Cricetulus griseus: one gene and its partner. The protein of the gene in region 1 interacts with the protein of each later gene in a biochemical or structural test. Links are inferred from orthologs where the notes say so. Each region holds a gene or a part of one and is shown on either strand. Other genes may lie near its edges.

Region 1 (5,283 bases):
AATCTATCTCCAGATAATCCATTCATTTCATAACAGTTCTCCAGTCTCTACCATGTACCAGTGTATTATATAAAGAGCTGCACACACTGTAAGTAAGACTCATAAGATCCTGGCTTTTTCATGGTAGGCACTTGCAACATAGTGGAAAGGAATATAAGACAGGTTCAGATAAGCCATTTTAAAGAATGGGACAGTTTTGAGAGGAAATAATATCGGACCTAAGACCTAAATTGGACACTTTAAACAAGCCATGAAAACAGTGAGATGAAGCTATTCTAAAGTGAGGGAATAGCATATATCAAGATAGAAAAACACTGTCTCGAAAATCCAAAAATAAAAAAAGATAGGAAAACAATAAAGACACAAACTAGCATGTTAAGAGTAAAAACAAGGGCTGGAGAGATGGCTCAGAGATGGCACTGGCTGCTCTTCCAGAGGTCCTGAGTTCCATTCCCAGCAACCACATGGTGGTTTACAACCATCTGTAATAAGATCTGGCGCCCTCTTCTAGGGTGCAGGCATACATGAAGACAGAATACTGTATACATAATAGCATTTTTTTAAAGATTTTATTTATTTATTTATTTATTTATTTATTTATTTATTTATTTATTTATTATGTCTTCTGCCTCCATGTCAGCAGAGGGCACAAGATCTCATTCAAGGTGGTTGTGAGCCACCATGTGGTTGCTGGGAATTGAACTCAGGACCTTTGGAAGAACAGTCAGTGCTCTTAACCGCTGAGGCATCTCTCCAGCCCACATAATAGTAATTTTAAAAATTCAAATACAGCTGGGCAGTGGTGGTGCATCCTTTTAATCCCAGCACTCAGGAGGCAGAGGCAGGTGGATCTCTTTGAGTTCAAGGCCAGCCTGGTCTACAGAGCAAGTGCCAGGACAGGCTTCAAAGCCACAGAGAAACCCTGCCTCTAAAAACCAAAAAAAAATTCAAATCCAAACCCAAATAAAGTATCATTTATTCGATGTACAAATAAAGATGTCACATACACAAAATCATTCTCTTTTTAAAAAGAGTTTAGATTTAATTCGTATTTCAATCACCAAATTCCAAGTCTACATGCTAATCACCTTAGTTTTAGTTCCTAACATCCAGAACATTAATGTTATTTTCCTAATTAACTGATAAAGCATGGGAAAAAGAACACAGATGACTTAGGAAACTGTAAAGCTATCAGTTGTTCAACAAATATTGTCTTATACCGACTTCAAGGTACAGTTCTAGGCAAATTGACTAGCCACAGCCAGAAAGCTATAGATCTAACACCTTCCACTTGCTAGCTTTTAAGGGTAAAGAGCATAACAACTCAATATAGGCATGCTAAGATTTCAAAGTACTTCAGGATCAAAGAAAAATGTTTGTATAAAGGAAAAGCAGTAGGATAATGAAGCTCATTACAGTTTTCCATTACTTTTATAATTTTAATTTTAGCTTGAGTATTAAAAAAGGATATGCATATATAAGTATGTGTGTGCATAAATTATGTTCAAAAGACTTACCCCTTGTGCATGAAGATACTCAACAGTTTTAGTTATAGTAAACAGGACAGCACTGGCCTCTCGCTCTGAGAAAAACTTCTGTCTAAGAATTTTATCCAGCAATTCGCCTCCTTTCATAAGTTCTGTTACTACATACACATATTTTCCATCATCATACACCTATACAATTTAAATAAAAACATAAAAAATGATTTGAAGCTTTATGTATGTCTCTAAATTACTACTTAAACATACTAAAGATTAAGTGAATATATTAAAAGATACAAAAATTGCATGTTCAAGAAAAATTTACTTGTGAAAAACCAATACAGGATTTCTGGAGATTGTGTTAGAGTCATTTATAGTGAGTAGTTTCACATTTAATGAGACTTAGACAACATCATTTATCTAAGAGAAATCATTCTGAGAAAATAAGAGTTTTGACAATATCTAGACAGCCTCTGAGCCTATGTGAGCACCAACAATCGAGAAACCTGACTACTTGAGACAGGGATATTTTTGTCAAAATTCAGTTATAATAAAAACCACAGGAGATAGAGGTACCAGGGCATCCCAGGTAAAAGATACCTCACTTATCCTGGGAGTGGTAATGGACAGGAAAGGCTTCCTGGAAGGAAGCAGCCTGTAGCAGAGTCTTAGTTGTTGCAGTCAACCAGGTAAAAAAGGGAAATGATATTCCCACCGAAAGGTCGACACATTCAAAGAGCACTTGGAGAAAATGAAATACGCATGTTTTAAAAAGTCTACATCCCAAATAAAGCATGGCCAGAACACAGGATGTAGGGGAAGCTGTAGCCATGCCTACTTAGGGGCTGGCTACAGGTGTGCCTGACCATGCTTGTGAGGGCGTGGTCAGGGTGATGTAGAGTGAGACTTTCAGGGGACTGCATTTCTCTTTCAGCTTCACTTTTGTACTTGCTGGACAGACCGCTGCCATGCCGGCTGGCTAGGTCGCTCTGTAAGTAAGGCTTTTCCCTATTAAATACCCTTATATTTCCACTTGGTTCTGTATTGGTAATTTCCCACTATAACAGGATGTGTAAAAAACTATGAAAACTGCTACAGAGGAAGGCAGGTGGGAGGATAGCATAGGGAGCCTTCAGAGACACTCACAAATCTTGAATATTAATATTTATATGTTCAAATTCACATACTATAAGTAATAATGTTAAAATAGTTTTTAAAGAAAAAGCAGAAAATTAGATATTCTTAAAGTTTTATTAATTTTTAAGATTTATTTATATTTTTAATTGCATGTGTATGCATCTGTGTGCACATGTGTGTGTGTGCACATATGAATGTGAGTGTTAGTGCCTATGGAGGCTAGAATCATCATATCCCATGGAGCTGGAATCACGTACGGGTGGTTGGTTGTAAGCCACCTGATGGGTGCTGGGAATCAGACTTAGGTCCTGTGGGAAAGCAACAAGTACTCTTAACCACTGAGCTGTCCCTCTAATATTTTTCTCCAATCTATTTTTTTATATTTACTTTAAGTTAATATATAAAGTAATGGGTTACATTATGAGATTTTCATAAATGCTGTTTTTTTTTAAACTCAATCCTCCTCCTCCAGTATATTCCCTTCTCTGTCCTGCTGGCCCTTTCCTTCCTACTACAAGTCATATCCCCATCCTAAACAACATTCATCAACTCCCAAGGTCATCTTTCTGATTTCATGACCTATAATCCCCACTTTTGTATACCCCCCCCACACACACTAAAAAAAATCTAGGATCTTCATATGAGAAGGACTATGCAGTATTCATCATTCATAGCTCAAGATAATAATTTCTACTTTCATCCATTCGAATTTACTTTCTAAATTGACTATTCTGAAGTGGTCTTTCTCTACCACATAATATTTGAAAAATATCCTAAATATGAGTTTGACAACTGCTTCAAGTGATCTTTGTTAAAGAATCTACTTACATCCTTTAGAGTAATGATGTTTGGATGCTGTCCATAACGAAGAAGAATTTCAATCTCTTCTGTTGGGTCTCTCTTGCTTTTATCAATAATCTAAAATGCAGATATTTATCATAAATATTTTTGAACATGAACCATAAATGTTTAGTTATAGACCTTAGGTATCATCACATGTAAACACTGTACACACAAGCCATTTACCAATCAGTTGTTGTTAAGTACTTACCCAGATTATTTCATTGGAAAGGTAGTCTCCACATAGATGGCTATATAAGGCTAAGCATGTGACACATTCCTACTAGGTCACTTCAAGGTAAGTTTGTAGTAAATTTGGGAATTATTAAAATTCAAAAGCCTCAAGAAAAGTCATCAAGAACAAAGTTACCACATCATTTTTTTCATCCTTGAATTTCTCAAACATTTGAGAATTCAACTTCTAATCACCTATCAATACAGAAAACTAAGAGATAGATGTGTCTCCAATACCACCATTAGCATCTGCTTATTGCACAGAATTTCTTTCTTTTTTCAAGAAATGGTTTCTCTGTGTAGCCCTGGCTGTCCTGAAACTATCTCTGTAGACCAGGTTGGCCTCAAACTCAAGAGAACCACCTGCCTCTGTCTCCTAAGTGCTAGGATTAAAGGCGTGTGCTACCACCATCCAGCTAACTTTACTTCTTTTAATTATCTTAATGGACTATCACATTAGCTGTAAGCTACTTACAAAAATTAAGTAAACAAGCTTATTTCTGAATCTAAGCAGAAAATCTCCGTATAAAACCACCCTAGAATATTAGTTGACTACATTTACTATATAAAGCTCTTTAAAATGTTACCATAGATTTTAACTCTTTTATGTCAGTTGCTTATATTTTTTCTTAATTTTTTAGTATATTGAAGTACTATACAAACATATTTTTAAAATTTAATGTGTATAGGTGTTGTGCCTACATGTGTATATCTATCTGTGTACCACATACATGTCTGGTGACCACTGAGGCCAGAAAGGGTGTTGGAGTCTCCAGAATTGGAGTTACAGATGATTGTGAACTCCCACATGGGTTCCAGGACTCAAACTGGGTCTGCTGGAAGAGTATTAAGTGCTGCCTTTTAAAAAATAATTTTATTTTATATGTGTGTACATGCATGTGCAGGAGCCCTCAGAGATCAAAAGTGGATGTTGGACTACTGTGAGCAACTATGTGGATGCTGGGAAACCCAGGTTTTCTGCAAGAGCAGCATGTGCTCTTAACCCCTAAGCCATCTTTCCAGCCCTAAGTACTATATTTGTAAAAACAATTTGGGCTTTGTTTTATGAGACAGGGTTTCATGGACTCGAGACTGGCTTCAAACTCACTATTTAGCTAAGGATGAAATCCCCCTGACTTCTCCTGCCTCCACTCCCAAGTGCTGGGATGATAGGCATGTGCCACCATACTTTGCTTTAGATTTATTCAAAGAATAATCTGAAGCAAATTTTGTGGTTCAATTTTACTTTATCAGTTTTAGTTGTTAAATGTTTTAAAGACAAATTCTCATTTTGTAGCCCAGATCAGCCTCTAAGTTAACCATGTAGCTCAGGCTGGCCTCACAGTGAAAGCAATCTTTCTAAAATGGGCCCTCAGGACATGTTTGATGTGTTTATGGAGGCAAGACACATGCCTAAACTGCCTATCAAGTACACCATTCCCTTTTTCTCATTGCATGTTAGAAGTCTGAAATTTCTATTCTCTTTAGATTTCAATAAGAACAATGAACAGCAACCAGCATGTTAAATGCATTTATATGGTTCATCATTGTACCTGATAGAAAGCCTTATGGACACTCATGTCTCTTT
Region 2 (5,109 bases), on another chromosome or scaffold:
AAGGCCTAGGAAAGAGGGCTGAGTTGGGGCCTAGTAAACTATCAAGGGAGAAAATGGGCTCCACAAAGGTGGGGGTGGCCCACTGCTCCCTGCTACCCTAAGACCTAATAATCTAATGCAGGGGGTAAGCATGGGAGGGACAGGGATCCATCAGACCACGTAACTAGGCATCCATCCAAAATGAGTCATTAATGGGGTGGTGGGAAGATGAAATGAGGGACCCCTTTGCTTCTGGTGAAGAATGGAAGAGAGAATACAGGGGCTTCAACCAAACCTTTTTAGCTTCTCACTGCTAAGCCAAGCCTGTGACAGGGGGAGGAGTTGTAGGTGGGTGGGGCAATTGGGGAGGGGGACTTGGAGACTGTAAGAAAGTCTGAAGAATGTTGCCATGGTAACCGCCTCCTCAGTCAGGGGAGCTGTTGCCAGGGTTACTGTTAAGGGAGGGAAAAAGAAAGATTGTGTGTATGGGGTGGGGGGGGGGGTAATGACTTGTCATTCCATGGTGGCTCCTAGCTTTCCTGAGTTTCTTCTTGTGTGTCAGGGTTTTCCTTGGCTCCCTCCAGACCTGCCCTCTCTCCTAAACCTCCACATTTTAGGTACACACCACCCTAGCAGGACAAAGTGTGCGCTCCTGTGTGTGTTGTTGAGCATGGGGGTAAGGCGCAGATAAGTCTGGGCAGTAAGTGAACCAGACCCACACACTAAGCTCAGCTTACTACTCTCCCTTTATTACTCTCCCCTCCAGTCATGGCCGAGTACGGGACTCTCCTTCAGGACCTGACCAACAACATTACCCTTGAAGATCTGGAGCAGCTCAAGTCAGCCTGCAAGGAGGACATCCCCAGCGAGAAGAGTGAGGAGATCACTACAGGCAGTGCCTGGTTTAGCTTCCTGGAGAGCCACAACAAGCTGGACAAAGGTTGTGGAGGGGGCTCTGTTCATTCAGCAAACAGAAATGTACACAACCCTCTTACACAAAGTGACACCTGATGACAGGGCAGGGTAAATGATAAACTCTGAGAGACTACGGGGTTTCCAAGACAGTAGTCATTAGACATGCTTCATGTATGGCTTTTATTAGTATAAAAGGGTTTTCAATACCCTTGTGCTACCACTGTATATAACAGGACATGAAAACAATTTAAAGTGGTAAAACTTAAAACCATGATTCTAATGTTTTCTTACCTACTTTCAGAGGGAGGGAGACACTGGATTAGAACAGTAACTCGCAGCTGGGGCTTGCAGGGTGAAATGGTGTGTAAGACAGTCCCAACTGCTGGCAGAGTAGCAGGTTAAAGTACTTGCCATGCATACCTAATGAGGGCCCAGGGCTCAAAGTGAAAGAGGCAAACCAACTCCTCAAAGTTGTCCTCGAACCTTCATGCTCATACCCACACTCACACACCATGATGATGTTAGACTCCAAAGGCAAGTGGGATTCCTAAGGTAGAATCCAGAGGACCTGTTTAAGCAAAGGAATGCAGTGTAGCTTAGCAGGACTAAAAGGACTGGGTCTAATTACAGGTAGCTGAGAATGTCAATCTTGAGTTACATGTGTGTGAAAAGTAAAGTAACCTCAGAGTTACTTTGTATGAACTCTTCTAGCTATAGTGCAGCAGACAGTATGAGGAGAACTGAAGGAGGATCTACCACAACTCAGACTATTGCCACCACTGGGGCAGGGGGCTTATGGTCTGATGGCACATATAATCTTCTCAAACCACCCTGATTGTGTCAGAGCTTTCGCTCCCTTAGTACGTCACTTTTCTTACTGGGCTCAGAACCTCTTTGATTTGGCTATAATCTCGTCCTGTTGCACGTGTGGTGTCTGGGAATTCTTCCTCATACTCATGTGGAAGGAAAGTAGAAAAAGGACAGGGTCAATGTGGGGTAATTTTGAAGGCAGCTTTTCTATTGTCCCTTCTTCGGAGGATGGACTTGATATCCAGCCCAAAGTCTTTATTTTCCATTTATGCCCCAGAAAATTTCATCGCCTCCTGTCCTTCCTAGGATCAGTCCTTGAAACTGTTTGGCTGCCGCAAACTTTAGCCCCTTCTTTCACTGTTGTCCCCTTGGATAACCAACATAAACAACTCAGGGTTGGTTCAGGAATACCAGTTTGGCAGGGTAAAAGTTGCCCTCTCTAGCCTAGCTCTGACTCAAGCTGCCTTCCTCCAGACAACCTCTCCTACATTGAGCACATCTTTGAGATATCCCGCCGTCCTGACCTACTCACTATGGTGGTTGACTACAGAACCCGTGTGCTGAAGATCTCAGAGGAGGATGAGCTGGACACCAAGCTAACCCGTATCCCCAGTGCCAAGAAGTACAAAGGTAACTGTAACTGGCCATGCCTTGGGCATAGCTACATTTCTGCTTTTCCCCTCTGACTATATTCTTAAGAGTGGAGAATCGTCCTGAATTTGGGGAGTAGAGACTGATGCTCAGTGGGCCTGCCTAGCAGCCCTGGACACACCCCATCTTTGCTTTTTTCAGACATTATCCGGCAGCCCTCTGAGGAAGAAATCATCAAATTGGCTCCCCCACCAAAGAAGGCTTGAGCAAAGGGGAGGAAGAGGAGGAAGGTTGGATCTTCATCAGACCACTCCCTTCCCCATCCTCAATGGGAGGGGCTAGGGCAACCCCCTGCCCCGTACCCACTTACTAACTTGGTCCTAACCCCCTTACTATGCGCGTGTGTGTGCGTGTTCACACGCTCTGGCTGTCTGTCTGTCTAGCTCATCTAGTTCCTCCTCCTCGTGAGGGGACTGGAGTCGGGAGGGGGGGGCTTAATTTCCCCACTATAGGGGGAAGTGGAAGCTATTTCTATGTAAATAGAAATGGGCACATTCCTCCTTCTCCCCTCCCCTCCACTCTTCCCGCATTTTCCTACACTGAGGAGCTAAGGTTAAGATGAGGTATGGGAGAGATGGTGAGAGTTAAAACCAATGGGGAAGGAAGGTAAGAGGCTACTCAGCCTCTACCTGGAAGGGGAAAGAAAACCCAGAATTCAGGGTTTGTAGATCTATGCTGGACTGGCTAGAATCCAGTTTCTTGTTATTCCTTAGGCTGAAGTCCTAAGAGCCAATAGGCCCTCTTTTATGCCCTTGTCATGGGCCTGGGATGGGTATGAGCCAGAAATCTTAATGAGAAGACCACTAGAGCCTTTCCTGGCCCCCAAAATCAAACCCCATGGAGAAGCCAGCATTTGATGTCCCCAACTTCTGCTCTGGAGAGACTATGCTGGGACCATGTACTACTGAGCCTGAGATAGGGATGCAGGTGGAGACAGGCCCAACTTCTACTCCTTTATTCCTAAATACAGACTGTTGAATATACTGACCCTGAGCCTAAGGAGGTTTGGGGGAATGAGATCTATAGGTTTTAACCTCAACCTGCCCATACCTACAGGGTCCCAATATGGATATTGTAGGTAACCTTCACACCAGTCTCCAGTTTAGAATACCCCAAGCAAGAAAGAAGTTAATCATAGTGGTTTCCTTTGCACCTATTACCACCCCAGTTCAATCCAGGAAGGGACTTGGTTAACCTTTCTCATTTGGGTTTGTGGATGCCTCCAAGCCAAGTCACTAGAGTACAGTGAGTGAACCCAGCCTCCTACCTGTCCCAAGATGCCCTTCCCCATCTTGACCGTGCTAACTGTGTGTACATATATATTCTACATATATGTATATTAAACCCGCACTGCCATGTCTGCCCTTTTTTTGTGGTTTTTAGCATTAACTTATTGTCTAGGCCAGAGCAGGAGTGGGAAGGGAATGCCACAGTGAAGGGAGTGGCAGAGCAAAATTGTTACATAGTCCAAACAGCATTGAAATCAACCACAGCAAACATTAAATTTACATGCAAGCTCAGAGACTTTTTAGAGGAAGCTTGAAGGTAGGAGCTTCTAGGGTGTGGGAGCAAAGCTCCACGGGGGGTGGGGAGTGGGGGGGCAGGCTGTCAGAAGAGGGAAGAAGCCAGACTGGCTAGCGTACCCCCAACTCCTAGCCCAGCCCAGTCTGCCCATCCCCCTGGCCACTGCTGCAGACACCTGCCTTAACACACACACCTCCAAGACTCCAGTTTTGCCTTAAAGGTCCTTCCTGAGACTCCCTAATTCTGTCTGGCTTTTCCTTTAAGAAAGGGGATACTTGTACGACTGGGAGAAAGGAAATCAGTATAAAACATCCTTCCATCTGGGATGGTGCATGAGAACAAGAGTGAGATGGAGCTTTCCTTATGGAGGAAACACGAGAGGAGAGAGGGTGCTTTTCAGCAATTTCTCTGTAAGGAAACAAACAAACAAACAAACAAACACTTTTAAAAAGACTAACCTGCCCTAATAGACTGACCTACCCTGCTACCTTTGTGCTGCTATGAGGTTGCCCCTAGTCCATGCTCCTCTGTCTGCAGCATGCATAGCCTTGTTCTAACCCTGGAATAAAGGTGACTGACTGTGCTGTACCTGACTGATTCTAGAATTCTGTGAGTCATTAAGAGTTGGGGAACCTCTGAATGACTGGGAGGGGATGTGTAGCCATGCCTTCCCTATTATAATTCACTTCTGTATAAAACATGGGCCTGGAAAACACCCCCAAATAACATGCCCCGCCACCTCTAAGTATCCCAGACCAGACTTTAGCAGAATCAAGTATTTATACTGGAAGGAACAAAAGTACTCTGTCACAAATAAATGGACCACATACCACACAAGCAGCAGTCGGGGGGGAAAAGCTTTACTGAGAAAAAATACAACAAATTCCAGAGTGCATGGTTTTAAGCCCACCTCATAATCCCCCTAGCAGTGCGACTACTCGCTTACTTCACTCCCTGCCTCAAGAAGGAAGGAAGTACACAACTGGCATCTGGTCTGAGCTGCTAGGAAGGGGTCAGGAGGAAGAAGTGTGTAGGAATACCACCCTCTGCTCTTTCCCCCTTCTTCTTGGCCCAGAGTGGTCAAATCAAAACGTCCCAGGATGCAGGATTCCTGATTGAATCTTGTGAAAACCAGGGGGAGAGAAATAGCAGCAAAAGCATTTAGGGCAAGAATTCAACAGGGACTTTCATACTTGGGTGTCTAAGCCCCAGTCACCAGAATAAATCTTC

What was found. The genes of interacting proteins can lie anywhere in the genome.
Region 2: the proteins of Rps6ka3 (region 1) and Pea15 form a complex in vitro, tested with the Homo sapiens proteins (2 studies listed by BioGRID). The link is inferred for Cricetulus griseus from reciprocal best matches to the Homo sapiens genes RPS6KA3 and PEA15.

Annotation. Positions count from the first base shown.
Region 1 is NC_048604.1:94,271,235-94,276,517, reverse strand, and holds part of Rps6ka3 (ribosomal protein S6 kinase alpha-3), read right to left. Parts: intron 3,540-5,283; coding exon 3,450-3,539; intron 1,677-3,449; coding exon 1,518-1,676; intron 1-1,517. UniProt on the Homo sapiens protein: Serine/threonine-protein kinase that acts downstream of ERK (MAPK1/ERK2 and MAPK3/ERK1) signaling and mediates mitogenic and stress-induced activation of the transcription factors CREB1, ETV1/ER81 and NR4A1/NUR77, regulates translation through RPS6 and EIF4B phosphorylation, and mediates cellular proliferation, survival, and differentiation by modulating mTOR signaling and repressing pro-apoptotic function of BAD and DAPK1.
Region 2 is NC_048598.1:20,661,619-20,666,727, forward strand, and holds the end of Pea15 (astrocytic phosphoprotein PEA-15), read left to right. Parts: intron 1-745; 5' UTR 746-747; coding exon 748-919; intron 920-2,178; coding exon 2,179-2,334; intron 2,335-2,496; coding exon 2,497-2,561; 3' UTR 2,562-3,705; downstream 3,706-5,109. UniProt on the Homo sapiens protein: Blocks Ras-mediated inhibition of integrin activation and modulates the ERK MAP kinase cascade. Inhibits RPS6KA3 activities by retaining it in the cytoplasm. Inhibits both TNFRSF6- and TNFRSF1A-mediated CASP8 activity and apoptosis.